Linked DNA regions of Anolis sagrei. The protein of the gene in region 2 interacts with the protein of the main gene of each other region in a biochemical or structural test. Links are inferred from orthologs where the notes say so. Each region holds a gene or a part of one and is shown on either strand. Other genes may lie near its edges. The genes, in order: ATOX1 and ATP7B.

Region 1 (15,486 bases), on a different chromosome or scaffold from region 2:
ATAGAAATCCAAGTGGCATTGCTCAGAGACTTTATTAGCAGAACAAGCAGACAAAACTCACCCTCACAGTGCTTCCCCTTCCACTTTAAACATGCAGCTGCATCTAACTCTGGGCCTTTTGTTTAAGAAACAAACCAAATATTTTGCCAGTTTTTAAACATACCCAACTGGCCTGATTTGGTAGGGATAGTCCTAATTCATCTTCTGTCATCTCACTTTCCTAGCTGCCTTTAAAATGTCCTGGGTTCTCTTTCCTCCTCTCAATTCCCCCCATGGTCCTCAATATACTTCCATTGCTGCAAAGTGACTTTAGAGTGCAAATGTGGTTTTCAGTCCACTAACTCAACAGGGGGAAAGGGTGAGGAGCTGGCACTTTCTTGCCCTTCCCAGTAGGCTTGGGAAAAAGCATTATTGGGTGACATTATGATAGCTGGGACCCAGTGCTGGTAGTGCTACACTGGTTGCATAACACAGCTGTGAATTAGAGAAGGGAACACGTGCGCGAGGCACAGCACCACGTGTGCAAGAGAGCGGATGCTGTGAGAGATGTAGCTGCAAAAGAGTCGATAAGGTACTTTGGTAGAAAGGGGGAGGGGAAAGAGACAAGGATAGTGATGTAGGTTATCCAGAGATCCTATGCAAACATGTTAAAAATGTAGTTGAACTGGAAGAAAGGATAAAAAGGAGGGGAGAAATACGAGCAGTGCTGAAAAATTAATCTAATCCAGTTACTGTTACATTACTTCACTGTTATCCTATCCCACCAGCGTTACATTACTCCACTGGGCTCATCCCGCAGCTGCATCTCTGACTCGGTGCACAGTCTCGCGAGAGCCGCACTGCACAACCAGCATAGCATTACCAGCACTGGGTCCCAGCTATCATACTTTTACCCATTATTGCAGCTCTTCTAAGTTAGGTATCCTTTCTCATTAATGATGCTGCTTGGTTGCACATGTCCGAGTTTTCGCTTGTGAAACACTGCAAGGTATGTTTAAAATATATTGCCCATTTTTAACTTGGAGATATTTGAGCTTTCACAGTTCTTAACGTATTTTCAGAGACAAACCTGTACTGGTGGCAGAAGTTAGGATTGGCTCACTCGATGGCAATGCTGGGCCACAAAGAGCACCTAAGCAGATCAGATACAGAATGACTGCAACCTTGAATCTTTTATGCAATGACATTTGAGCTACTATATTTAAAGGCCACCCCAGAATCTAAAAACTCTATCCCACAAGTGTTTGGTTTAAAAGTCTTATTACTCTTTGCATATTCATATTCAGTGGGGAAGAGTAGATCATTTTTCAGCTGAAAGAGAAAGAGAGTGATGCCCCATTTTAAAGCATTCCTAGATCCTGCACTTATGGTTAATATATATTTAAGATTAATATATAATTCATTATATGATATCAAAGACAATCTAGCCTCTTCTTTCTCTTCTCCCCAGTCAAAAATATTAGCCCTGCACCCATTCTATCTGTATAGATCACTTACCTTAACTATGCCTGAAAGCTGGGAAGAAGTGCTAGATTTTTCTCATGCATATTCACGAAAGAAAAGTTTCAGGTAAGAAAAGTTATTAGCCAATCCAAAACAATTTAAGAAGACATTTTAATTCAAACAGAAAAGAATGCTTTTATCGTTGATGCCATTTTCTCTCTGTGTCTCTCTCACACAGATACACACTTTCCTTTTTGTGAACTCAAACTTCCTTAATTTGGCATTTAAGGCTGAACTCGGTAACTACCATTATTCTTTTGTTGCTATTGTTATCCCCTAATTCCCCCATTCCTTTAGTATTACTATTTTTAAAAAGAGCTTTTAGCAATTCGAGCACAACTCATGTTCATTCTTTAATCTCTCAAGAAAGAACCACAATTGAGTGTTAAAAGCAGGTTTTTCCCCCAGCATTTTAAGCAATTACTTCTTTATTTTTTCCTGGAAACTGCTGAGAAAATTCTCAGCAATAATTGCATTTTCATTTTATTTTTGAACAACTCTAGATGAAGACATATAGCCAGTTTGAGTTTAATAAATGCCCCACTAAGGTTTCACATTACAAGGGTGAGAACTGTTCTGATCTCCAGATGTGGTTGGACTACAATTCCCAGCAGCCCTGGCTAGCATGGCCAATGCTGAGAATGCTGAGAATTGTTAATTCAGCAACATCTGGAAGACTCCACAATTCCCACTTCAATCCAGGATGTTTTTGTTTGTCTTTTCAGAAATTAAGACATTGCCACACACACAAAAAGGCAAGAGCAGGACAGGCAGACTTCTATATGCTAATTATAATTTTAGAAAGGAACACTTCAATTTAAATATAAATACAAGACATCTTACCACACCTGCTCTGTTGGTTGTCCAGATGTTAACTATTAATTTTAATACACTCAACTCTATCTTCCTGTGATTCTTGATCATTAAGCTACACACGAACTGACCAGCTCTGCAAACATATTACTGTTACATTCAGAAAGGGCTACATAACTATCTTACTTTTAACCTCAGGATTAATTCTGCTGATTCACCACAGCTGCCAACAACCAAGACTATCCCAAGAACTTTTGTTCCTGAGGAGGAATCAGAAATGACACCTCTTAATCCTTCCCTACCTCTCAAGGAGCATAGTATTACACAGAACTAGTCATGTAACTCTAGCACAGAAAATGCCCCACACGTCACACAAAAGCAATAAAAAATTGCAATCAGTTGTCCTTTCATTGATACCTCAATCCAGACAGCTGAGACTGTAATCCCAATTTGTCCAATGGTAGAAGTGGTCCTGCCAATAACACCTTAAATCAAATGTGCATGTTAGGCATGTTTGAGAGTAACAAAAAGCTTGTAGCAAAAATACAGCTATATGCGACTTTTTCATACTGTATGGGTTTGAGTGTTGGACTAGGATTCTGTGAGAGCGGGCTTCAAATCCTCACACAACAATGGAAACCCACTGGGTGACCTTGAGCAAGTCACACTCTCTCAGCCTCAGTGGAAGGCAATGGCACATCTCACTCTGACTATCTTTCTCTAAGACACTATCACTATAAGCTAGAGTCAATTTGAAAACACATAACAACAAAACCACATGTGAAAATTTATAAGATACCATTGTTCAATGAAAAAAAACATATATGCCCGAGATGTGAAATCATATGTGAAAGGGATGTAAACTGGTTAAATTTGCCTTGTTAATGGCAAGTGCTCAAGGGACTTTACTAATTGTACGAAAGGCAGAAATTTCTTGATATATTCTCATGCACTGATGGTGAAAGTCACATTTGTTGAATAGGAGCCTGCTGAACAACTCTTAAAGGCACCAGAGCCCTGCTAGTTGAAGCCAATGGCTTCCTATTGCCAGTAAGACAATGTCATGATTTGATTGGTCTTTACTCACTTCCTTGAATACTATACAGCTTCATATGAACTTAAACATGTAAGGGGTTTTTTCTTCTTCTGAGAATGAGATAAATGACTGAAGATATTTCACTTGCATAGCTAGACACACCTTTATTCAGAAATCAATCCTATACGGTGTGTAAAAGATATCTACTCTAAGCCATTTTCAGGATTTCAGCTAAGTCACCCAGTCCTTACAAATTTAATCAGAAGCAAGTCTACACTGAATTTAGTTATCTGAGAATGAAATTTATCAAAATCAGTGTGATATCTTTATAAAATGAATAGGGTCAAGGTGCATGGTATGTCTGTTAGACTTCTGTAAAAGGCAATATGCTGCCCAATGTGCGTATGAAATGTATGAAGAGATTTCTATGCTGGTTTTCATTTCAAATATGCCAAAGCACTCTGCAATATTACAGTGCCTGAAATCATAACATACAATAAAACTATGCAATAAAACAATGAGCATCCATAGAACAATAAACCAATAAAATAGTTCATTGAAGTCATTGGGGTAACTACAGGCCTGTAGCAGGATTTCGTTTCGGGGGGGGGGGGGGGGGGAGGCTGAATTTTTTTCAGGGGGGGTTTCGGGTGGGGGCTGAGTCTGAGTGAAAGAGGGTCTAGCCTAGCAAACCTAACATACAATCATTACACCAATACCCCCATGCATATGGGATATATTGAATAGGGTGATCAGATCATGATATGAATAAACATAACAGTTTAAATAATGCAGCAGTAAGGACTTTTCGTGAACCACCATCAGAATTGGGGGGGGGGCTGAAGCCCCCCGAGCCCCCCCCCCCCCCCCACCCCCCCCCCCCCGGCTACATGCCTGGGTAACTAGCAAGGTTAGTGATCAGAAAAATAAACACCTGGCAAAGCACAGGATGCAGAAAACTTCAAGACAAACTAGTTTATTTTATCATATGCTTTTACTAACTCCCTCCCAATATTGTTGGGCTGGAGAATCCAAAAAAAAAAATGGAATCTAGAAAAGCTTATTAGCTAGCCTTAAAAGGTGCCACTAGACTCCTCCTTTTTATACTAAAACAAACTAACATAGCTATCTCTCTGGAAATGGATGAAGAAATCTTCAGCTGGTGATTAAAATACTCTATATAGGAAGCACCCCACAGAGACATTATCCAACGGAAAGATCATTTAGCCTGGTGGGTGCCGCAACAGAGACATCCCTCCTCTATACTTTCAGCAAGTAAACTTCACAATGCTGTGGGGTACAGTGGCTCCTGCACTGAGACCCTCACCATAACCTGGTCCAAAGCTATTTAGAGATTCATAACCAATTTGAACTTTGTATTTAGAGACAGAGAAAAATTACTCTTCCTTTATCATTAAGCATCTGGAGGAGTCCCTGGTAGTGTAGTGGGTTAAACCCTTGTACCGGCAGGAGTGCTGACCAACAGGTCAGCGGTTCAAATCTGGGGAAAGTGAGTTGAGCTCCCTCTGTCAACTCCAGCTCCCCATGCAGGGACATAAGAGAAGCCTGCCACAAGGATGTTAAAACATCAAACACCCGGGCATCCCCTGGGCAATGCCCTGGCAGATGACCAATTCTCTCACATCAGAAGCAGCTTGCAGTTTCTCAAGTCGCTCCTGACACACACACACACACACACACACACACAATAAAATTCAAGCATCCTGAAATATAAAGACTCCGGCAAGCACAAGGGGTACTTAAAAGTGCCATCCATGCATTTGGTGGAGTTTATTCCTAAGTAAACATGCACAAGATAGATTGAAGGTAGTCTCATTATTCCTTTAAAAACCCATTTCTCAGTGCTTGAATATTCAGTAAACCTCTGATTGATAATTTCTGAACTACCTAGTAGCGGTGGTAACCCAAATCTGCCAGATCATTTTAGAGAATTCAGCCTAGTTTGGAGGGTAGGATCAAGCTCCCTTCCCATTCCAGGGTCCGTGGATTTTTCTATAAATTTTATCCTTTTTCCCACATCTAAGACCTGAAATGCCCTGACTGCAATCCACATCCTAACACATACAATAAATAAATCCAACTAAACCTGTTCAACTATATCTGTTCAACAGATATGCGTATATGGGAAGTATGTTCTTTTCTGTTAACCAAGCCTTATGCTCCATTAGGTATATTTCAAATTGAGCTTAATGCTTTGATCTTATGTACCAGTATGTCTTCTCAGAAATAATTCCCAGTGTGTTCAGCGGATCATATGCCTAGGTAAATAAGCCAGGGCCACCTCAACACAATTTGCTTCCCTGGGGAGATTCATAGTATCACACTACTGTGGCATCCAAGGCAGAAAATCACAAAAATGCTCTTTGGAAGTAAAACACTTAAAAACTGTAATTATGCATTTAAAAGGAAGAATTTGCTTACCTTTTCATCATCACCCAAAATCAAGGAAGCAAGCTGGATGTCTCAATCTACCTAATGCTGGGCCAGATTCAGGACTCCAGCTTAAGGACAGCTGATCGATGAAATGCTCTCATCAAGCCATTGCTGCAAGTCACTTTTGGTCGCTGCTGGTGTGAGAGAATCAGCTGTCTCCGTAGAAGTTGCCTGGGGGACACCCGGATGTCTTGCAATCCTGCAGGGAGGCTCCTCTCATGTCCCCCTCTCATGTCTAATATAATGCCAAGTTTTTAAACTTTGAGTGTGTTTGTGTGCATTTTTAATACATTACAACAGTACCCTTTGCTCGCTCCTGATACAATAAATAAATAACCAAACCATTTGTAGATTGTAACTTTTAACTAAGTGTCCTAAGGCAACACTACTCAGATATGACCAGTGCTAGTCCATGAATCATCTGCTGATGATTTGTAGTGAGTTTCCAGGAAATTATGGCTCTGCTTATCTGATGAATTAAGGACCAGGTCGCTGACAGAAAATGGAATTGGTTGAAAAGTGGAACTACAAGGAATTTTAGCTAGCAAATAAAAGATTAAACACTAGGTGGCGATAAGTCAATGGAGAGAGAAATAAAACCAATGCACCAATAATGCAGCAGAAGTGGTTGGAAGAGTAGACTAGGGGCCAAACGTGTTGCACAAGGCTATAATTTAGGTGGGTCAAAACAGCAGAACATCCAAAACTGAGTTGTCAAAAAGTGTGGGATGTTTGTAGAACAGGCATGGGCAAACTTCAGCTCTCCAGGAAAGACAGGAAGAGGCTGTTAGGAATTATGGGAGTTGAAGTCCAAAACACCTGGAGGTCTGAAGTTTGCTCATGCCTGTTGTAGAATCATTATAATGAATATGGTACCAGTCTCTGACACACCGGGGAGAAAGTTCACAGCCTGCCATATAAGACAGTTTAGGAAGAACTAACAGGACGGTGACTTGATTTTTTTTTTTTTTGGTCGTGTCAGGAGTGACTCCTGGCGTGAGAGAATTGGCCGTCTGCAAGGACGTTGCCCAGGGGACGCCCGGATGATTTGATGTTTTATCATCCTTGTGGGAGGCTTCTCTCATGTCCCCGCATGACGAGCTGGAGCTGATAAAGGGAGCTCATCCGCCTCTCCCCGGATTCGAACCTGCGACTGTCGATCTTCAGTCCTGCCGGCACAGGGGTTTAACCCACTGCGCCACCGGGGGGGCTCCATGGTGACTTGATGATACAGACAGACATAAGTTAAGGTATATATGACTGAAGTTACACTTAAAAATGTACCTGTTTCAACTTACATACAAATTCAACTTGAGAACAAATTGACAGAACCTGGGGACTACCTATCTGGGTTGACTTGTCCACAGGTCAATGTGAGTACTTTAACTTGACTCTTATCCAAAAAGGAACCATCCTTTTTATCTGAGTAGTGCCACAAGCTTAGTCCATCCCATGTAAACCTAAAAGAAGCACCAATTTGCTTCCTCCCATAGGGCCCTTCCAGACAGGCCCTATATCCCAGGATCTGATCCCAGGTTTTCTGCTTTAAACTGGATACAAGTCCATAATGCCAGATAATCTGGGTTAAACAGAAAATTTGGGATATAACGCATGTCTGGAAGGGCCCTTGTAACAAAATGTATAATTACAAAGTAGGTTGAAAAGGGTCAGTTGGTTAGTTAGCTGAAGTCAGTGAAGTTGTTAGTCAGTTAGCGGGAGTCAGTGAGGTAGTTTGCTGAAAGCAGCTGGAAAACTAGCTAGGGAAAAGCTAAAGTGGTTGACTGGTAGCAGGAAGCTAATGACAGTAGAGAGGTTTTAAAGGACCAAGTGGTCAGGATCTCTATGCCAGGCAAAAGATTATTAGAAGTCAGTTTTCATATGTTAATATAAAAGTTCTTTTGGAAAAGAGGAAAGGCTTAAAGGAAAGTCATGTTGAAACTCTGTTTTGTAACCAATAAGCATTTATACTTTTGAAACCAGCACGCTTTTGTCACAAGAACGATACAAATAAAACTGTTTCCTTTTAAGCAAAGTCTCTCTCAATCTAGGTTCTTGTGGGTTTTTTCGGGCTATAGAGCCATGTTCTAGAGGCATTTCTCCTGACGTTTCGCCTGCATCTATGGCAAGCATCCTCAATCTCTCACCACCAATTTAAGAAGACACAAAAGGTGGTAGAAAAATCAAACAACCTTTTATTCTTTGGTGGCATCTTTGCACAGGCTGGTAGCCGGACCCTTCCTGACCTTTTTACATTTTTGGTGAGATAAATAAATAAAAAGTCCCGCCACGCAACCAGTTTAAGTGCCTCACAGCCCTTATATGGAAGCTTGTTACTGTTGTGGGGCAAGCTGAAATCCCCACCAAAGGGATAGCCCGGCCCTCCATTTCACCTGGCAATGCTGTGTGACAGGGGTGTCTCTCACACACCCATTTCAGAATGGACCACCACCCCCCCCCCCAATATCTTACAACCACCACTTGCCATTACATTAAAAAATATCCAAGCTCTGGGTTCTATTACAATGAGAGAAGAAGAGAATTGATTAGTTGGATTCCATTATTCATTTATCTGCTCTCTTTTCCACCTGCACAGTCCTTTCTGACTTTAAGAGGCCAGACCTATCTAGTTTTTAAGAATACCATATTAATTATACAATATTACAGTATTTTATTATATAATATTAGTGCAGCATACATTTTAAAACTGGCTTTCATCTCACCCATTTTTCCCCCTCTTCCCAAGCCATACACATTTACAACCTGGCTTCAGACTACAAAAAAGGAGATTCCACCTGAACATGAGGAAGAACGTCCTGTGAGAGCTGTTCAGCAGTGGAACTCCCTGCCCCCGAGTGTGGTGGAGGCTCCTTCTTTGGAGGCTTTTAAACAGGCTGGAGGGCCATCTGTCTGGGGTCCTTTGAATGCGATTTTTCTGCATCTTAGCAGAATGGGGTTGGACTAGATGGCCCATGAGGTCTCTTCTAACTCTAGGATTCTAGTCCTCAAGAGGTGCAGCAGCACAACTGCTCCCAAGTGTATCTTGAGAGTGTATCTACACTGTAGAATAATGCAGTTTGACGCTACCTGAATTAGGAGCCGTAGTGCTGCAATGGGTTAAACCCTTGTGCCAGCAGGACTGCTGACCTGAAGGTTGGAGGTTCAAATTCACGCAACAGGAAGAGCTCCCGTCCATCAGCTCCAGCTTCCCATGCGGGGACGTGAGAGAAGCCTCCCACAGGATGGTAAAACATCCAAACTAGGGTGTAGAGTGAGCTCTCATCTGTCAGATCCAGCTTCCCATGCGGGGATATGGTAAAGCATCCAGGCCAGGGTGTAGAGTGAGCTCCTATCTGTCAGATCCAGCTTCCCATGCAGGGACATGAGAGAAGCCTCCCACAGAATGGTAAAGCATCCAGGCCAGGGTGTAGAGTGAGCTCCTATCTGTCAGATCCAGCTTCCCATGCGAGGACATGAGAGAAGCCTCCCACAGAATGGTAAAGCATCCAGGCCAGGGTGTAGAGTGAGCTCCTATCTGTCAGATCCAGCTTCCCATGCGGGGACATGAGAGAAGCCTCCCACAGAATGGTAAAGCATCCAGGCCAGGGTGTAGAGTGAGCTCCTATCTGTCAGCTCCAGCTATCCCATACGGGGACATGAGAGAAGTCTCCTACAGGATGGTAACATATCCGGGCATCCACTGGCCAACGTTAATTCTCTCACACCAGAAGCGACTTGCAGTTTCTCAAGTCGCTTCTGATACAATTTTTAAAAAACCACTTGAATTGCTGTAGAATCTTAAGATTTGTCGTTTGGTGAATCGCCAGCACTCTTGGGCAGAGAAGGCGAAAGGCCATGCAAAACGACAACTCCCAGGATGCCCTACAATTAAGTCCTGGCAGTTAAGCGATGACAAACTGCGTTTAGTCCTAAATGTCGATGCACCTTAAGTACAATGTTCCCCACGCGCCTCTGAGCATGTGCAGAGAGAATAGCGTGGCGCGTCACTCCCTGCCAACGGAATGGCTCCCCCTGGCGGCGCAAGGAAGGAAGGGCGCTTCTTAGCCCCCCCTCCTCCCGCGGTCGAAGGCTGAAATAGGCGGGGAGTGGGCGTGGCTAGCCAGCGGTGGGCGGGGCTTCCTTGGCCTTTCATTATTGCGGAGGAAGGTGGGGAAGAGGCTGCTTCTCCGTTCCGGTGACTGGCAGAAGGGAAGCAGCCGCAGCAGCCATGCCGGTGGGTGACTTCCAAAGGCGGCTCCAAGGGGCTGGGTTTGGGCCGGGAAAAGGGTCAGGGCAACAGCGGGGGAGCCAAGGATGGAGCAAGGGATCCACTCCCCCCCCCCCCAATCATTGCTACAACAACCTCCCCTTCCCTGCCCAAAAGAAAACGAGATCTGCTAAATCAGATCCTCAGGCCCAGGATGCATCTACACTACAGAATTAATGCAGTTTGACAGCACCTTAACTGCCACGGCTTAGTGCCACGGAATCATAAGAGCTGTAGTTTGGTGAGGCATCAGCACTCGTGGACAGAGAACTCTAATAGATCTTGCAAAACTACAAATTCTATGATTCTGTAGCATTCAATCATGACAGTTAAATTGGCTTGTTATTAATAACAGTGCCTGACTGCTGATATGGAAAATGAAGAATTCAAATATAGTCCCAAAGCCAATCCAGTTGAATGTTTTCACTACACAAGATGGATCTAAGACAGCGGTTCTCAACCTGTGGGTCCCCAGATGTTTTGGCCTTCAACTCCCAGAAATCCGAACAGCTGGCAAACTGGCTGGGATTTATGGGAGTTGTAGGCCAAAGCACCTGGAGACCCACAGGTTGAGAACCACTGGTTTAAGATGGTTCTCAACCAAACACCCTAATGTTTCAGTGGAGATCCTATCTGCAAGGGATGTGATAAAGGGATGATGTATAGCAGGCATGGGCAATTGGTAGGCTGTTAGGAATTGTGGGAGTTGAAGTCCAAAACACCTGGAGGGCCGAAGTTTACCCATGCCTGCTGTATAGTTTGAGAAAGGCTCTCTAGGATTTCACCCCATACGTTTTGAAGAGAAGTTTTGCAACCCTTTTGATTCAACTCATATAGAACGTGTTGCAGTAGTTTCAGTGTTGGAGTGCCACTCCAGAGACCAGGGTTCGATTCCTCACTTGGCCATCGAGACCCATTGAGTGACCTTGGCCAAGTCACACACTCTCAGCCTCAGAAACCCCATAATGGCTTTAGGGTCATCAGAAGTCAGCACTAACTGGAACGCACACAGGAACAACAAGCAGAGGAGCCTCACCCTTGTTGGCATATGGAATGAGATGTTTTGCTCCGCTATAGTGAAGATAAAACCATTCCTGATGACTGTTAAAACCCTTAATGATGACTGTTCAAATGGTGTATTTAGTTGTCCTTTGTAAAATTGTAGCTTAACTTCTGTTTTATTATTTTGTTTTGCTTTGGGTTTATATTGTGTGTGTGTGTGTGTGTGTGTGTGTGATTAAGTTGCAGCATTAAGCCAGCTCAAGTCGTTTTGGGAATGGTTGGCTGTTACTCACATGTTTATACTGCCCTAGTTTTTTGTGGATCAGTGCCCACTTTGTCAGGTTTGTGCCATGATAAATGTCTTAAGGTGCACAAAGACCTTGTTGTCTCCTTCTGTGTGGACTTTTTGGAACCCCTGAATGCAACCTGAGAGATGAAGAGGATCACTCAAGACCTGGCAAGACACACACACACACACACACACACACACACACACACACAGAGGCCCAGAAGAACTATCCAGTGAAGGCAAAGCCAGTTAAAGAGTTTGTTCCTTCCTGAGAAATAAAAGGTTTTGCTTCAAGACATCTCTCAGAAGTAACTTCAGCAGTACAGTGATTATGTCAGACAAACAGCTGTAGCCTGGCTTAAAAAGCTGTATGAACTTTAAGCCTGACCACAGTCCAGCGAGGGTGTTTGCCCACACAAGTGACCTTCTGGGCCTAAATGCAGTAAACATTGGGGAAATATCAGGGGTCTTTGGACTCCCAACCTCAGATTCCTCGAGCCACAATAGTGTTAATCAAGCTGATGGAGGAACGCAGGAATCCAAAAAAAAACCAAAAAAGTAACTTCTCCAAGCTCTGGCCCCAGTGATTAGTCGAAGGATTGGTCCCTTACTGTGCTATACAGTAAAGTCTCGCTTATACAATAAAACCGGCCAGCAGTATGTTGGATAAGCAAAAATGTTGGCTAATAAGGAAAGATTAAGGAAAAACCTATTAAACGTCAAATTACGTTATGATTTTACAAATTAAGCACTAAAACTTTTTTTACAACAAATTGACAGAAAAAGCAGTTCAATACATGGTAACATTATGTAGTAATTACTGTATTTACAAATTTAACACCAACCCATTGCAGTGTATTGAAACAACTGTGGATCCAGGTGGGAGTCAGATAGTGTTGGATAATACAGAATGTTGGATGAGCGAAGGTTGGATAAGTGAGACTCTACTGTATTTCTTTTAGGCAAAAAGAGTTCATGTGTGAGCAAGATTTGCCTGTGCTATAAGATCTTGCACATGCCTTTATCATTCTAGAACAAAAAATACAAAAGAGCCCCTTGCAGAACTTGACTGTTGACTTTAAGAGCAATAATAGAGGGGGAAAAAGACGTAAGGAGGCATCTACTGCTTAATGCAAAGATTGATCATTTCTCTCCTCCCTCCACCATCATCTAGAGAAGCTAGACATATCTGGCCTCACTAATAGGCAGGGTGAAGCAGCTGCCTCAAGCACTATATGTTAATGTATAGTTAGCAAACAAGTTCTTCTGTGTTCCCTAAGTTAGCCAGCTGCCCTCAAATGCAGTGTCCGATGTTGCCCTATCACCAGTGTTGCTGTAAGAGTCAGGGTTGTTGACTTACAACACTCAGATTCTCCCAGCCATGACTGCAGGTCCCATTGGCCATACTGGCTGGGAGATTCTGGGAGCTGAAGTAAAAAAAAAAAAACTTTTGCAAAATCTGGTAAAACTTAGCAGAGTGAGAAGAAGCCCTATCTTCTTGTCATGCATCAAGCAGACAAGAGTTCCCTTGCCTAGTTTCCAACAGACCTCACAACCTCTCAGGATGCCTGCCATGAATGTGGGTGAAAAGTCAGGAAAGAATGCTTCTGGAACATGGCCATACAGCCCAGAAAACTCACAGCGACCCAGCCCTGTCTTGTTCTCAAGCAACGAAATGTCTTGGGCTGGCCTTGAAACTGGAGGTGAACTAGACCTTTTGAAAGGTGGCTGGAGGCTGACATTTCTGCATCATGAGGCCTTATGTCCATTTCTGACTCCACCAACCACAACACATATTTGAATGTCTGGCTTGGATACCAGGCCAATTTCCAGCTTCGCTTCTGTAAATTGCGTCTTTAGTGGTACCAAGAAAAACCGGTTAGTCATTCAAAGACTGACTTTTTATTCCCATGCTGTTCTGTAAGCTGTAGCAACAGTGCACAGCAACACACAGCTCACTTGGGATTGGTCCATTTAGGAAGGATCCAGAATTTGCCACGTCTTATTAATCTCTGAGTGATTCATGGTTCACACAGGGAAAAGACAAAAGTATTACTAACCTTTCTAATGTAGATTTTTCCTAGTTAATAGATGGTGGTGAAAATTACTTGAGATCAAGTGTTAGTGGAGGTAAGACTAGGGAGATATAAATAAGCAGGTCATCATTACAGACACTGGTTCAGATACTGCATTTTTTTCTGAAACAGATTTTGTAGCCAGGTGGTTTTTTGAGAACATGTCCAATTTTATGTATTTATTTTTAAAATTCTGCTTTGTGTACCTGGAATAAGATTTAAGGAAACACAGAAAAGAAAGCAAAAGTGAAATAGAAAGCAAAAACAGAAAGAAGTGATCAGAAATGCTCTAATTTATCTGAAATATTGTTACACAGTCATGTTTAGGAAAAGTAAGAAGAACCAATGAAATTTGGGCAATACACCATCTATCATATAGAATCATAGAATAGAATCATAGAATCATAGAATCAAAGAGTTGGAAGAGACCTCATGGGCCATCCAGTCCAACCCCCTGCCAAGAAGCAGGAATATTGCATTCAAATCACCCCTGACAGATGGCCATCCAGCCTCTGTTTAAAAGCTTCCAAAGAAGGAGCCTCCACCACACTCCGGGGCAGAGAGTTCCACTGCTGAACGGCTCTCACAGTCAGGAAGTTCTTCCTCATGTTCAGATGGAATCTCCTCTCTTGTAGTTTGAAGCCATTGTTCCGCGTCCTAGTCTCCAGGGAAGCAGAAAACAAGCTTGCTCCCTCCTCTCTGTGGCTTCCTCTCACATATTTATACATGGCTATCATATCCCCTCTCAGCCTTCTCTTCTTCAGGCTAAACATGCCCAGCTCCTTTAGCCGCTCCTCATAGGGCTTGTTCTCCAGACCTTTTATCATTTTAGTCGCTCTCCTCTGGACACATTCCCGCTTGTCAATATCTCTCTTGAATTGTGGTGCCCAGAATTGGACACAATATTCCAGGTGTGGTCTAACCAAAGCAGAACAGAGGGGTAGCATGACTTCCCTAGATCTAGACACTATGCTCCTATTGATGCAGGCCAAAATCCCATTGGCTTTTTTTGCCGCCACATCACATTGTTGGCTCATGTTTAACTTGTTGTCCACGAGGACTCCAAGATCTTTTTCACACGTACTGCTCTCGAGCCAGGTGTCCCCCATTCTGTATCTTTGCATTTCGTTTTTCCTGCCAAAGTTGAGTATCTTGCATTTGTCACTGTTGAACTTCATTTTGTTAGTTTCGGCCCATCTCTATAATCTGTCAAGATCATTTTGAATCCTGCTCCTGTCCTCTGGAGTATTGGCTATCCCTCCCAATTTGGTGTCTTCTGCAAACTATGTTGTTTTGGCCAGTGATACATTGTTAAAACATTTTTCTTTTGAAACCAATGTGATTCTTGTTATGTGATTCCAACCTATGGACATCCGCTTGTAGTGTTTTCTTGATAAGATTTATTCCCAAGGTTTGTAATTGTCTTCATCTTAGGGCCCTTCCACATAGCCGTATATCCCAGAATATCAAGGCAGAAAATCCCACATTATCTGAGTGTGGACTCAGATAACCCAGTTCAAAGCAAATATGGTGGGATTTTCTGCCTTGATATTCTGGTATATAGGCCTGTGTGGAAGGGTCCTTAAGTAGTGTGACTTGCACAACGTCACACAGTGGGTTTCCATGGTTGTGCAAGGTTTCAAACCCTGGTCTTCTGGAGCCCTAGTTCAATATCCAAACCACAACACCATGCTGGCTCTGCAGCACTGTTTGGGGGGAGACATAGGGGCCCTACCACACAGCAATATAACCCAGAATATCAAGGCAGAAAATCCCACAATAACTGCTTTGAACTGGGATATCTGAGTCCACACTGCAATATATTCCAGTTCAAAGCAGAGAATGTGGGATTTTATTAATCTGTGTGGAAGGGGCCATAATCAAGAATCTGAAGGGGGGTTTTTTGGGTTTTTTTGCAAAGATTATGATTGTGGGATCCAAAGCCACATTGGATATTGTCCTGCAGCAAACATTTCCCAACATGGTACCTTTCATGCACATTGGTGCAGAACTCACCCTGCACAAACAGTGGATGGAGAAGGAGAAGTTT
Region 2 (15,388 bases):
ACATGCTGTTTAGTCACTTGTGCTTCCTGGACAAAATGTATGCAGCCTATTTCATGCAATAAAGCTTTTTATAAGCAGAAAATAGATTAATTGGGCACAAGTACATTCCTATGACTGTCATGTGGCCTTTAATTCCTGGTTGCGTGGTCATTGCCTTTTGGCTTTTGCTCATGGTATGCACAAAGCACAACGCTGGAACTATAGGAGGATGAAGACTTAGCTCCCAAAATGCATAGAATTGTACTGGACAAAAGAAGCTTGAAATTATTAACGTACACAGTAAGTGTAAATATTTATAGGCTGAGCTGGGTAGATGTCTTATAAAGTTCACAGAGCATGTATTTCCTGGTATATTGAATAAGATGTGTTTACAATCCTGTGTGTGAGTTTTACAATCTCTTTAAAAGCTTGTGGGATTTATTTCTCAGTAAATAAGCAAAGGTTTGGATTGTAAATCTTGGTTGAGAAGATAATAGAGGTATGGCACCAGTGCTGAAAAATGGCCAGCGTATTGAGGCTACAGATAGAAAATTTTAAAACCAAGGTAACAGATATTTCATAACGTAAAAAAATGTAACAAAATGTATGTTTTAAATAAGTGCCTTATTAGATTGGGTCAAAGGGAATAGAAAGAAATGTGACCATTTTGCACTGTTTACTCGGTTATATTCTGCCTTTGAGAATCATCCTGGTATAGTGGTTTCAGCACTGGACTATAAGTCTGAGAATCAGAAGCATTGGACTATAAGTCTGGATCCCCGCTTGGCCATGGACACCCACTGGATGGTTGATCTTGGGTGAGTCACGCACTCTCAGCCCTAGAAATCCCTAAAATCAATTTGGCACAAAATAAAAAGAACAATGGCAACTTCTGTCTTTCCTCCAAAAGCTTCTTTCAGTACTGATGAAATTATACAACTTGTCCATTCTTGTAAATGACTCTGTGAGGCAGTTTAGGTTGCAATACATAGTATGGCTCACTCAAAGTAAATTCCTAAACTTCATTGCTGAATGAGATATGAACCCAGGTCTCCTTAATTAGACATTATTGCTGAGTGTGTAAATACCTCACCAATATCTCTTAAATGTGTACTTGTACAATAAAATAGCATGACATTGGATATTAGGAAGGGGCAGAGTGCAGCTCTCCTCTGCAAGCATGGAAACATGAATGAATGTGAATAAAAGTTGCTAGAATGAGGCGTGATGGCCAAGATGGTTGCAAATGTTCCAGAATATTTTTTTCTGATCTGGGTTATTTCTGCATGCGTTTTCCTATAAGTACATCATATCCTCTTTCAACAAATTCACCCGGTCAAACGCAAAGGTCCTATCAATGCCAGCAAAGCATGAAGTTCAAATGATCTGCTTTTGCAAGTGATGTACAACTTATCCATTCTTGTCAGTGTGATGTATTTTCTTGAGTGCTGGACTACAACTCTAGAGACCAACTATGCTTGGACATGGACCCCCCCCCCCCCCCCCGCAGTTTACATATCACTCCAAGAACTGTACTGTAAAGGCAGAACTGTAGATCCACCCTGTTTCAGAAGACATTAAATAAGCCATCCCGAGTCCTTCCGGGGAGATGGAGGCGGGGTATTTCTCAGGAAAAATGGTCCGCCGAGTTGTGCGTGTGTAAGGGCCCTTCCAGACAGGCTCTATATCTCAGGATCTGATCCCAGGATTCTGTTAATACCTGATCATCTGGTAGTGGGGACTCATATAATCCAGTTGAAGGCAGAAAACCTGGGATAACCTCACCACCTCTGAGAATGCTTGCCATAGATGCAGGCGAAACATCAGGAGAGAATGCCTCTAGAACATGGCCATATAGCCCGAAAAAAACTACAACAACCCTGAGATAATCTCCTGGGACATAGGGCCTTCCTGGAAGGGCCCTGAGACAATGCCACATGTCTCTGGCTGGAGTCTTGTATGTGTCCTTATCTTGGAGAAAGCCATATGGAGCTCTGTGTCGCTTAGGCCTGAGGGACACTATCATTTGGAGCTTGGGAGCAAGTCTGACTGCCCCTTCACTGGTACTGAGAGGAAATAGTGCTTGCCAGTGCTTCCTGTACTAATTTGTCTTCCTCTCAATCTCTTTTGCAGATACATACCGATTCCAACCCAATTCTAATAGACACATTTATTTTTAAAAGCTGGATTTTTCTAAAACTGTAGAGTAAAAAGTGATTTTTTAAAGGCATTAAAACCTGAAAGAAGCACTTTAACTGTGAAAACGGTTCTACATTGTGTGTTCAAGTTGGGTATGATTTTATTTGTTAGTGTGGGTCTGATCTAAGAGTGTGGCTCTCCAAGTATTGGACTGAAAGTACTGATATGTGTCACTATTAACTGTGCTGTTTGAGGAACTGAATGCAAGCAACAACTGAAAGGCTATAGTTTGTCTACTCCTTTCTTTAAGCATAGGTCTCATACTGTACTTGCCAGAGTATGATGTTGAATTGTGAACCCTGTTTAAACTTCCTGCCGGGAAGAGTGTCTACGCACCCAGTGGGAAAGTTTGTTTGCTGGTAGGAGTTTCAACATGTGTACATAGAATGAACTCTATCCTAGAATAATTTGAATTTGCACTGAGTAACACAGACTTGGTGTTGCTGTCTCCTAAATGCTAGACCAGGATGCCAACTAAAGTGCAATTTATTTATTCATACTTGAAAGTGAAGATGTTAATTCAATCGTAATTGTGCTCCCAGAACAGAAGTTCCAAGTTTCAAGATCATACATGAATAGCATTTGTCCATGGTCAGCAAGATCTATGTGAATATATTGCAGAACGTTTTGAACAATCTGTTTGTGTATGTGCGTCTATACAAGTGCCTTCAAATCATCTGTTGATTTATGGTGACCACATGAAATTTCATATGGTTTTCTTAGGCAAGGAATATTCAGAGGTGGCTTTGCCATTTCCTTCCCCGAAAATATAGCCTACAGCACCTGGTATTCATTCGATACACTGCTGGAATTGTGAACTGGACACAAGCAGAGCTGGATGATCTGGACAGAAAAACAAGAACACTTATGACAATTCACTACGCATTATACCCACGTAGTGATGTCGACAGACTTTACCTGCCCATAAAATCAGGAGGCAGAGGACTTCTGCAAGTGAAACAAATGGTAGAAGAAGAGAAACATGCAGTGGCAGATTATGTGAAAGGCAGTCAAGAACCAACATTGATGGAAGTCAATAGTAGTAAACTGCTTCAAGTGCAAAAGACAAAAAGTGTAAAAACACAATCCAGAGCAGAAGAGAAAACTGGCAAAAGAAGGCTCTCCGTGGACAGTTCCTGGGAAAAATTGAGAGCCAAATTGACAAAGAAAAAATATGGTTGTGGCTCACAAATGGGACTTCGAAAAAGGAGCCGGAGAGCCTGATTCTGGCAGCCCAAGAACAAGCCATTAGAACAAATGCCATCAAAGCCAGAATTGAAAAGTCGACAACAGATCCCAAGTGTAGACTCTGCAATGAAGCAGATGAAACAATAGATCACATCCTCAGCTGCTGCAAGAAGATCACGCAGACAAACTACAAGCAGAGGCACAACACCGTTGCTCAGATGATTCATTGGAACTTGTGCCACAAATACCATCTGACAAAGAACTGGTGGGATCACAAGCCGGAAAGAGTTACAGAGAATGAACACGTCAAGCTACTCTGGGACTTCCGAATTCAGACTGACAGAGTTTTGGAACACAATACTCCTGACCTCACAATCATGTTAAAAAAACGAAGTATAGATTGTCGATGTTGCAATCCCAGGCAACAGCAGGATTAATGAGAAACAACTGGAAAAGCTGACACTATATGAAGATTTAAAGATCGAACTGCGGAGAATGTGGCACAAACCAGTAAAGGTGGTCCCAGTGGTGATTGGCACACTTGGTGCAGTGCCTAAAGACCTTGGCCTGCACTTAAACACAATCGGCGCTGACAAGATTACCATCTGCCAGCTGCAAAAGGCCACCTTACTGGGATCTGCACGCATTATTCGCTGATACATCACACAGTCCTAGACACTTGGGAAGTGTCCAAAGTGTGAGGTCAGGAGTATCCAACTGCCAGCAGAATGTCTGCTGTGGACTCATCTTGCTGTGTTTCAAATAATAATAATAATAATAATTATTATTATTATTATTATTTATATTCCACCCTATCTTCCCAAGGGGACTCAGGGCAGATCACAGTGCACATACGTGGCAAACATTCAATGCCGTTTGGACAGATGGGCCAGAACAGATAAAAAAGCGGTATGTTGTGTTGACGTCCAGCTTTAAAGTATTTAAGTTTCTAAACTTACAGATGTGTATTTTATGTACTGACCCATAGAATCAATTTGATTTAACTCCCATATGCTTAGGTTTAGCCGTAGTCCTGGGAGGATTTAAGACCCATGCATTGTTCACTTATTCTGCCTTCATTTTCTAAAATGGGGAAGGTGGATGTTGGTTGTTTCTCCAGATGTTTTGGATTCATTTCCCAAAACTCCCACCCAATGTGATCAAAGAAAAGGGATTATGGAATTTTTGGTCCCAAAGCACCAAGCAATGCAAAATTTCCATGCAGCTATAAACCGCTTCTGTGTTTTTGTTGGTTGCTTTTGGCCTTGAAATGTCCAAAGGAACATGGGCATGTCACTTGATCATTTCATGATTCTCTAAACCAGAGGTACAGATGTGTAAGCCTTTATAGATATGCTTACACCGCAACTCCCATTTCCCCTTTTGCAAATGATGGAGTTGTAGTCTAGGAACATTGTAGTCCAAGAACACCCTGTGGTGCCCAACCAGTGAATGGTAAAATGGCAAGACCAAAATGAATACCAACCCGCTCTCCCCAGATTCAAACCTCTGATCTGTCAGTCTTCAGTCCTGCTGGCACATTGCGTCACCGGGGGCTCCTGTTGTTTGTAGTTGACTTGACGCCATTTAGTATGATGATATCCGAAGCTCAGGGAAATCCTCCAAACTGGACGAATGAATAAGAATAATGGCAGATGAGGATTGGTGTAATCAAATATACAGTTCTGAGTTGGGGGGGGGGGGGGAATAAACCTGCTCGACAAGTCTAGCGTAGGTACTTCCTTTGTTAGGAGAAATAGCCAAGTACCGTTGATATATTACTGTGGACAGTGAGTCCCCCTCTACATTGCCATATAATCCAGATTATCAAAGCAGATAATCTGGATTTTGCATGGCAGTGTAGAAGGGGCCTGCATAGCTAGCCACTTGTTTTTTAATAGAAGATTGTTGGTAGGGGAAACTGTTTGTGGATTTTTTTTTTAGAAATAAGAAATGTAATAACGTAATATTTTGTGATTATGGTTATTAGTAATTTTAGTAGGACTATTTAGCTATATCTGTAATGGTAGAGAAATACATTTTTTCTTTATTGAATTTTGATGGCTGGGACAAAGATAGTTCATTTTATAGGGAGAGTTGAAGGGGAAAAAAACATTTCCCTGTTTCCACTGACTTTTCCTTCTCCACACTTCCCATTTCATAAACAAGGGTTGTTTCTACAACAGCAACATTGGGGGCGGGGGGGGGGGGGGGGGATAACAGGAAAACTAGGGGAAATAGTTGACTCCTTCAATTAAACAAAGTTTTTTCTAAATATTTTGTGGTTGGTTTCATGGTTGATTAACTATGTGGTTGTAGAACCTGTGGATAAGGGGAACCAACAGTATATGTATACATGCTCCCCCCTCCCCCCCACACACCTTTTGTCCTTGTTGTTTCTTTTCTTCTTTTTTTCTTCTTTTCCCCCCTGAATATTTTTATTTGGTGGCGGTTTGGACTCTGTCCCTTCCTCTGATAATGGGTGAGGAAAGTTATCAAGGAATCCTCAGAGAACGGGTAAAGTTTTACCTTCCCTTCAGCACCATATGTTGTAATCTAGGGCAGGGCTTATTAAACTTTTTCCACTTGTGGCCCCTTTCTATCTGAGGGCCCTTCCACACAGCCATAGAATGCAGAAGACCAAGGCAGAAAATCCCACAATATCTGCTTTGAATTGGGTTATCTGAGTCCACACTGCCATATATTTCAGTTCAAAATAGAAAATGTGATTTTATTCAGTTGTGTGGAAGGGGCTTGATACATTTTTACATAACCCCAGGTAAATAGGTATGCAAAATAAGGCTTGTGTAACAGGCTGATTTCCTGTTTTGTGGAGTACAGCTAAAGTCCATTGTAAATAGCTACTGTTGTTGCTGACAGATTTGTGTAAATGGATAGCGTTCAGAAACCTTTTACTGTTGCCACATTTCCGTGACCCCACAATTTAAGAAATAGTGGTCTAAGAAACGTGGAAAAAAGAGCGGCAGGTCAAAGACAGATAAGTTTGGGATTATGTAACTGTTATGGAAGACCTTTGAGCTATTTGAAGTCTGAGAAGGGGATTGGCTGGTTTTTTGGAAAATATTCAACTGCGTGTTATCATCATGTTTAGTCTGTAGTTTTGTAAATAAACACTAATTCAGTACCCTTCCAAAGGAAGCCAGTGTGGGTAGGCAGCACTGCCTGCCAGTTAATGCCTTACAACTTGGTGGATTGGGATGTAAGACATTAACTGGGGAATGGAGATGGGTATAGCAATGCAGTGATTAACTTGAAGTCAGCTAGAACCGTACAAAAAAAGAGACCACAAGGGAATAATCTGTCCCAAAGTAGGAAGGAAAGTTAATTGAACTGCTGAGGCAGTGAAAAGGGCCACTTTGGCAACCCGAGTGTCTGCTCGTAGTGAGCCTATTAATGAAGTACATATTTAAGAGTTTAGTGAAAACCAGCCACTTTGGATGGGCAGCAGGACTGCCTGCTTGGTAAAGTAAATTAACATATATTAAGCGGAAATGTGCCTTGGACCGCGAGAAGATCCAAGCAGTCCATACTTCAGGAAATAAAGCCCGACTGCTCATTGGAGGGAAGGATATTAGAGGCAAGGATAAAATACTTTGGCCACATCATGAGAAGACAGGAAAGCTTGGAGAAGATAATGATGCTGGGAAAAAAGGAAGAGGGGCCAACCAAGGGCAAGATGGATGGATGGCATTCTTGAAGTGACTGGCTTGACCTTGAAGGAGCTGGGGGTGGTGACGGCCGACAGGGAGCTCCGGCATGGGCTGGTCCACGAAGTCACAAAGAGTCGGAAATGACTGAACGAATGAACAACAACAATTCTTTGGTACTACTTTGAAAAAGGCCTTGTTTGTTTTTGGATCTCAGGTCATATCACTCAGGGCCCTTCCACATAGCCCTATAACCCAGAAGATCCAGGCAGAAAACCCCACAATACCTGCTTTGAACTGAGTTATCTGAGTTCACATCGCCATCTTACTTTACCTACTCGTTGTCCAAGTAGGATAGTCTTCCAAGATTGGTGTCCTGGCAGTGGATCCGTAGGTGACTGTGGAGCCCTATTCTTGATCTGCATCAAGAATAGGGCTTGATCTGCATCATTGGTTTCCAGACGGAAAGGGGTCCCGGTTGGGGTTCGCTTGACATGACTTCCTCTTGGCACGTTTCTCTCTTTCACCCTCCATTCGTGCCTCTTCAATTTCTACAGCACTGCTGGTCACAGCTGACCTCCAGGGCCGACCAAGGGCAAGATGGATGGATGGCATCCTTGACTGGATTGACCTTGAAGGAGCTGGGAGTGGCGACGGCCGACAGGGATCTCTGGCATGGGCTGGTCCATGAGGTCATAAAGAGTCAGAAGCGACTGGACAAATGAACGGCAACAAATATTAAAAAGTACAGACACCCTCTCTGATTTTCCATCTGACAACGCACTTTGGGTTCAGATGACTCCTGGAGTAGGAATGGCTAATGCAAAGGAAGAGAAAGCCAAACATGCTTAAAATAGTTGGGCTGGACAGGTAATTGTGTTTATAAAGTGACTTCACCTGAGGAGCTAACACTTCAGCCAATCCCCTCTGGCTTTTAGTGTCTGTTCTTCTCAGTTTCTGCAGCCTGTGAGACTTTGAAAGAGCTACGCAGCATGCATAATGCCCTCCGCATGCTTAAGTAATGTGTGCTTCTAAACAAGTATAATTAAATTACAATTTGTAAAGCAGATTCCTCCGCGATTGAAGCAGGATGAAAGCTTGGCTGCTGAAGTTAATTATACACCGAGGTTGCTTCATGCAGGCCATATTTGACAAGTTTGTGAAAGGCAGCCTTGACTGAGGACACCGCAGAGCTGTGTGCAAAGATTAAAGGAGTTAGATGGGGTTTCTCATTGAGCACAAGGCTAACAATTGGTGGGAAATACCTAAACCTGTTTGCAAACATAGCCAACTGCAACAGGAGGAGGTAGGGAGGAGTCAGTTCAACTATACGAACCATACAGCTTCCTTTAGGCTGGAGTAGAAATCATTGCAGGCTCTGGAGAAATCGATGCAGGCGGTCCCAACTCGGGAGCCCCCCTTTTAAAATAAAACTGGCACCATAAGGATGGAAAAGAAAAAAGAGAGGCCTACGAGAAAAAGCCAGTCCTCGCTGGCAACATCTCAACATAAAAATATTACTCTGGTGCATTTCTCTGAGGAATTGCCTGCTAGAAAGCCATCCAGGTTGGAAGATGGTGAATATGATAACCTGAAAACAAATGGTTTGTTTCAGAAAGAGAAGGATGTTTCTGGTAATGTCTTGCCAGGAGAACCGGACATCATCGTCAGACAGGTCAGTTTAAATGGGATGGAGGAATACACATTAAATGTTTTGGCACATTTGTCCTCTGCTCCTTGTTTGGGTCTTGGTGACTGTGAGGATTGGAGCCTTATACTTTTTTACTTGGAAATGGGCGCCATTGAACTCAATGGTATTTACTTCTGAGATGGTGCATGGAAAAAAAAATACAGCAATGTCCGTGGAAGCAGTGAAAATGGAAATACTAATTACCAGTTTGTGAGATTCCTTAAACCAACCTTTTTTTGACCAGGGACAGCTTGACCAGGGGCCCCACTCCAACATTAGTACCAAAGGGTTATGAATCAGTTTTTGGTCAACTTTGGTTTGGTTATTTGGGGTTCTGATTCAGAAAATTGCATTGGATAGACCATGTCATCTTAGTTTCTGATACAGAACATATCCCATCCAGTAGACGCCATCTGCTCACCCCAGAAAACTGTATTTAATAATCTAGAGTTGATGTGGTAGCAGGAATCTTTTGTAGTCAGCCTCTCCCCTCCAGACATCCCTGTTTCCATATTTAATGATTTAAAGCATCAATATAGTCATTAAGTGACTTGCTCTGATAGCTACCATCTGGTATTGGTTTGTGAGCAATGTGAAAATGGTGACTTACGGCGACCCCATTGATTTCATAACATTTTCTTGTCAACTAACACTCAGAAGTGGTTTTGCTAGTTCAGTAGGAGAATGGGAAATCAGTTATTGCTTGGAAAACCAAACATCATTATAGGTAAACCTGTTACTGGAAAATGATAGTAACTATAGTTCTTAATAATGCAAAAAGTTGCAGCAGTTGCTTCTTGTCTTTAGGTTTATGGATAAATTAAACATATTTTGGAGTACATATCAAAGAGTTATTTCATCCGTTTCTTTTTGTTTATCATATAAATATGGATATTTTCTATATAAATTGTCTCAAAGAAAATTGAAACTCCTTTTAGCTGTAATGACAGGATCTGAATAAGATAAAATAGTGCCGCTGCCACCTCCAATCTGGAAGTCTCTGAAACTCTACTTCTGATTTTGAAAAACAGGGTTTTAATAATTTTAAACTGTTCAGGAGAACCCTGGAAGAAATTATCTTCCGGTTTTGGAGGGTTTGGGAAGCACGGAGGGGAGGTCATGGGTTGAAAATAAGACTTATGGGCACACGAGGCTGCAAAATCATATTTTCCAATACGTTTTGCTAAGATACATCTAGTTGCTGAAATTCTGAAAAGCATATCATTATTTTGTCTTGTAGCTCAACAGTTCCTGTCCATTTTGTTTTTCAACATTTAAACCCAACATCAAAGTCTTTTAAGATGAGAAAGACTGGAGTGGGAGAATTCATTTAGAAGCAAAGTAGAGAAGGCAGTAACAATTTTTTCAGAGGCCTATTAGGGTATATGTTATTGAAATTATGAGCATAGTTGATCCTTTCGGTCTACTTAGGACTGCTTGCCTTCTTGTAAAATACATCATTGGTATCTCTCGGTATAATGCCTTTTTATGAACATGAAAATACTCTGAATACTTTTGTTGTTAACAACCATCAAGATGACGTTGACTTCTGGCTCTCTATGACAGAGAGACCGCCAAATCATCCTGTCCTCACCATCCCTGCTCAGGTCTTGGAGATTCAGGGCAGGCATAACTTCCTTGGTTGAATCTATCCACCTGGAACGCAGTGCTCCTCTTTTCCTATTGCCTAATATTTTACCAAGCATCATTGTTTTTCTCTCTCTAGTGAATCATGTATTCTCATGATATGTCCAAAGTACATCAGCCTCAGTTTATGGCCTCATCAGTTGGGCAGGGGTAAAGCGGGGGATATCGTGGGGCAGCAAAGGGAACTGTCAAACTGTGTTCCCTCCTGTTGAGGTCCATCCTCTGCCTCCCCATGACATTTCTTTATCTGTCCCCGCTTCCTTTTCGGCTCCTCTTCCTTCAGTGAGTAGTCGGGTCTTCAACCGACTCCTCTAGGCTCTGCTTCCTCAATGCTGCCGGCAAGTAGCCCCCACAGGGCCCCACCAGAAGTAGCCCTGTATCATGTGATGGGCTGCTGGAGACTATGTTCCGGCAGCACAGAGAAGTAGGGAGAAGATGCTTCTCTCGCTGCATCTGATGAGGTCCTAGGCTATCTTAGCTTCTAGGGCAGTGGTTCTCAACCTGTGGGTCCCCTGGTGATTTGGCCTACAACTACCAGAAATCCCAACCAGTTTACCACCTGTTACAATTTCTGGAAGTTGAAGGCCAAAATATCAGGGGACCCACAGGTTCTAGGGAGTGTTCAGGATTGATTTGCTCTGGGATTCATTTATTTGTCTTTTTGGCAATTCAGGTATTTGTATGTCTCTCCTCAGGCCCCACATGTCAAACGGCTGCATTCACAATTTTTGTATCTACAGATGAGTGTACAAAAGGTGAGGCACAAATGTGGGAAAGGGAAGAGGAACATATTTCTTGGAACCTCATGGTTTCCCCAAATACTTGAATAGTTAATCCTACAGTACATAGTGTGTATGTATTGTGTTTGTCCTCTATGCCAACCAGTAGACCAATGGCTGAATTAGGGCTTTTGTTCAGCTTTCTTTACCAATGCTCATGCGTTTAACAAGTTTGCATTTAAGGAGAGTTAACATTCAGTTTCACAAACATGTTTATTCTTCCCCCTCCAGTGTCGCACAAAGGAAAACCAGGGCAAAGGAGCACAGGTCTAAGGAGCTGTAATTCAGAAGGGGACTTGCCAAGAAAAATCAATTTTAACTGTCAATGCTTTTTCTTAATCTGCTCTTTATAAGTGTTTATTCATTTTAGTTTCCCCAATGAACAATTTGGAGTTACAAAGCCCAGGAAATTCTAGTTAAGAGCTTTCTGGGAGAGAAACGATCAGACACATCGTCCTGGTTTGGTAGATCAGGCGTACTAGTGTGCAGTGTATTTGTGTTACAGTGCAAAGAATCCTAGAGTTGGAAGAGACCTCGTGGGCCATCCAGTCCAACCCCCTGCCAAGAAGCAGGAAAATTGCATTCAAAGCACCCCCGACAGATGGCCATCCAGCCTCTGTTTAAAAGCCTCCAAAGCAGTGGTTCTCAACCTGTGGGTCCCCAGATGTTTTGGCCTTCAACTCCCAGAAATCCTAATAGCTAGTAAACTGGGTGGTATTTCTGGGAGTTGTAGGCCAAAATACCTGGGAACCCACAGCTTGAGAACCACTGCTCCAGAGATACCTTTGCTCTGCACAATACTATAATATCCTTTCAAAACAAGCACATTGTTTTCTCTTTTCTTTTCAGGCTGTATCATCATCAGCAATGAAGCAGAAGTTTGCCTTTGACAATGTTAGCTTTGAGGATGACTTGGAGCATTCACCCGTTCTTCTACCCCAAGTGAACACTGTTACTGTTGATATCTTGGGTATCACTTGCCAAGCCTGTGTACAATCGATAGAGGGGAAAATTTCCAAGGTGAAAGGAATTGTTGACATCAAGGTGTCTCTTGAGCAAAGGAATGCTGTCATAAAATACTTGGGACTGGAAATAAGTCCCCATCAGATCTGCCAGGAAATCAACGATATGGGATTTGATGCCAGTATTGTAGATACAACACAGTCTTCAGAACAAACGTCTCAGGAAACTTTGGTTAAGATGAAAATAGAAGGTATGACCTGTGAATCTTGTGTTAATGCCATTGAAGAAAAGATTGGGAAACTCCATGGTGTGAAGAAAATAAAAGTGGCTCTCAGCAGCCAGGAAGCCACCATCACTTATTGTCCACTTGTAATCAGCCTTGAGGAACTAAAGGATAGCATAGATAACTTGGGATATAAAAGCACTGTCAAGCATAAGCAACCCTCCTTCAATCTTGGCTCGATTGACGTTGAACGCTTACAACAGACAGATGTAAGGACACCTGCTGGGCTTGATGGCACAAGCGCTATGTCAGAAGACACCGCCACCACAGCTTGTGTTGCAGTGCTGGGTGTGGAAGGGATGCACTGCAAATCCTGTGTCAACATAATTGAAAGTTCAATCTCAGACATGCTTGGGGTACAACGTATTAAAGTGTCCTTGGAACAGAAAAATGCCACAGTGTGGTTTGACCAGGACGTGGTCACTCTATCCTCGTTGCAGCACGCCATCCAAGCTCTTCCCCCTGGTAACTTTAAAGTATCCTTTTCTAGTGCGATAGAAGGTGACAATGGACGACTTACCTCAAAGACAACATCCTCTTTGCCTTATGTCTCTAGAAGTCCTCAGGATGAATCCGGTATAGCTATTATTAAGGTTGATGGCATGACTTGCAATTCTTGTGTAAAATCCATTGAAGGCTCCATATCCCAAAGGAAAGGGATCCTCCATATCTCCGTATCTCTAACCAAAGGGACTGCAACTATCTCCTACAATCCGATCATGACCAATTCTGAAGAGCTGAGAGCTGCTATAGAAGACATGGGATTTGATGCCGTTGTCCTCTCAGGTATGATGACACTTTTCTTCTGTCATGGTGTCTTGTGACTGAGAAGGATCTCATCACCTCCATCAACAGTACTAGAAATGGATCTGAAAACTATACAGCTTACTTGCTTACTTGTTTACATTAGCTGTCCCTTTCTGTTTGTACTTTTTGCTGTTATCATATTCTCCTAGTATAGAAACAAAATAGGGATGCCATAGCCTTGGAATGGTTCAAGTTTGGTTTGGAATGGAGAGGTCCCCATGTATCCCAAGAATGAACAAAAATTGACCCAGGGCTATAAGCAGCCTCAAAGCTGGTTTCCCCCGTCCTTTGGGGGGGGGGGGGGGTGAACTTCCAGGAAAGGCTATTATGGCTTCCCTTACCAAAATTCTTTTTTTCATACCAGAAATTCCAGTCTCTTCCAGACACTTCTGGATTTTTCTTGTTTGTTTTCTTGTTTGTGGGATGTGCAGTGATTTGGGGTAGCCTGTGTGTCCTTCTGAGGCTTCCAAGCTTAGAAATTTAGCTCCTGGACCTACCATCTGGATTTACCCCTTACTTGAAACCTTGCAATATGTTGTTCTGGGCTGGAGAATTTGGCCAGGGTTGCTTAAGATGAAGTAAACAGGAGATCAAAAACATCTGGTAGACCAGATGTTGGCTAGTCCTATAATAATGTAGTCTAAGATCTTGGGCTTGGTCTATTATCTCTGAGTGATCATAGAATCATAGAAAAACAGAATTGGAAGAGACTGCATGGATCATTTAGTCCAGCCCCCTGCCATACAGAAAAGCACAATCAAAGTAACCTGACAATGTGTTGTCAAAGGCTTTCATGACTGGAATCACTGACTCTTCTTTTAGATTTTTTTTTTTTTTTGTAATTTGTTCAGTATTTGCTATCAATTTGCAGTATGTGCAAACTATAAATCTAAGAAAGTCATTATTCAGATACTTTTTACTGCATGGGGATTTTTTTTCTCCTCGGTTTTCCTCTCATATCACCTCACAACATTACTTGTTTCGTTTTTAATTTTACATTATTTTTAATATTTTGAATAATAATAATAATTAATAACATTTATTTATAGACTGCCCTATCTCCCTGAAGGGACTCAGGGGGGTTTCCAACACATAAGGTAGTATCTAGGTACTAGGTACACATAAGGTAGTATCTAGGAGCCCAATTCAAGGTGCAGGTGCTTACCTACAAAGCCCTGAACGGTTTGGGACCACCCTACCTGCGTGACCGCATCTCCACCTACGAACCCACACGCTCGCTCCGGTCATCTGGGGAGGCCCTGCTCGTGATCCCATCCACGTCGCAAGCGCGCCTGGTGGGGACACGAGACAGGGCCTTCTCTGTGGCGGCCCCCCGACTTTGGAATGCCCTTCCAAAAGATCTTCGCCAGGCCCCTACTTTAGCAGCTTTCAGAAAGAACCTAAAAACTTGGCTGTTCCGATGTGCCTTCTCAGATTAGGAATCCCCACCCAAGTCCTAGAAGCACTTTAGTACAATTAACATTACTGCACACCGTACTATTTATTCCCATGCTCCTCCTACCACTCTAGCACTTTTAATCCTGTACCCCATTGCGCTGGCCGGCCCAGTTTTAAAGTGTCATGATGTATTGTTATTGTCGTTATTGCTTGCTTAACTTATTGATTTGCTATGTTTTCTACTGTTGTGTTTGTTTTACTGTATTGTGTTTTGAGGCTTCGGCCTGTGTAAGCCGCATCGAGTCCTCCGGGAGATGCTAGCGGGGTACAAATAAAGTTAATAATAATAATAATAATAAATAGGTACCATTTTTTAAAAAATTCTAAAATCAGGACAGTAAATAAAGAGCAATACTCAAAAAGTAAGGGAATTCTAGACAAGAATAAATCAGGGCCAGTTAACACCTCCCAACAAAGGATTCCCCCAGGCAGGAATCTGCCAGTTCTTGAAGCTGCAATGCCATTCAATGCCAATCAAGCTTGGAACTTCATACAGTATTTAAAAAATATTAAAGGAAAAACATTAAAATCACATAATCCAATATTTTAGTTCAGGCCCTTTCAGTTATCATTGCACCATTCTATATTCACATATTGCAGTAATCTAGTGGTTCTCATCCTGTGGGTCCCCAGATGTTTTGGCCTTCAACTCCCGGAAATCCTAACAGCTGGGATTTCTAGGAGTTGTAGGCCAAAACACCTTGAGATCCACAGGTTGAGAACCACT

What was found.
Region 1: the proteins of ATP7B (region 2) and ATOX1 form a complex in vitro, tested with the Homo sapiens proteins (3 studies listed by BioGRID and IntAct). The link is inferred for Anolis sagrei from reciprocal best matches to the Homo sapiens genes ATP7B and ATOX1.

The regions. Positions count from the first base shown.
Region 1 is NC_090022.1:84,265,464-84,280,949, forward strand, and holds the start of ATOX1 (copper transport protein ATOX1), read left to right. Parts: upstream 1-9,916; 5' UTR 9,917-10,031; coding exon 10,032-10,037; intron 10,038-15,486. UniProt on the Homo sapiens protein: Binds and deliver cytosolic copper to the copper ATPase proteins. May be important in cellular antioxidant defense.
Region 2 is NC_090021.1:139,734,868-139,750,255, reverse strand, and holds the start of ATP7B (copper-transporting ATPase 2), read left to right. Parts: upstream 1-8,229; 5' UTR 8,230-8,481; coding exon 8,482-8,709; intron 8,710-11,999; coding exon 12,000-13,182; intron 13,183-15,388. UniProt on the Homo sapiens protein: Copper ion transmembrane transporter involved in the export of copper out of the cells. It is involved in copper homeostasis in the liver, where it ensures the efflux of copper from hepatocytes into the bile in response to copper overload.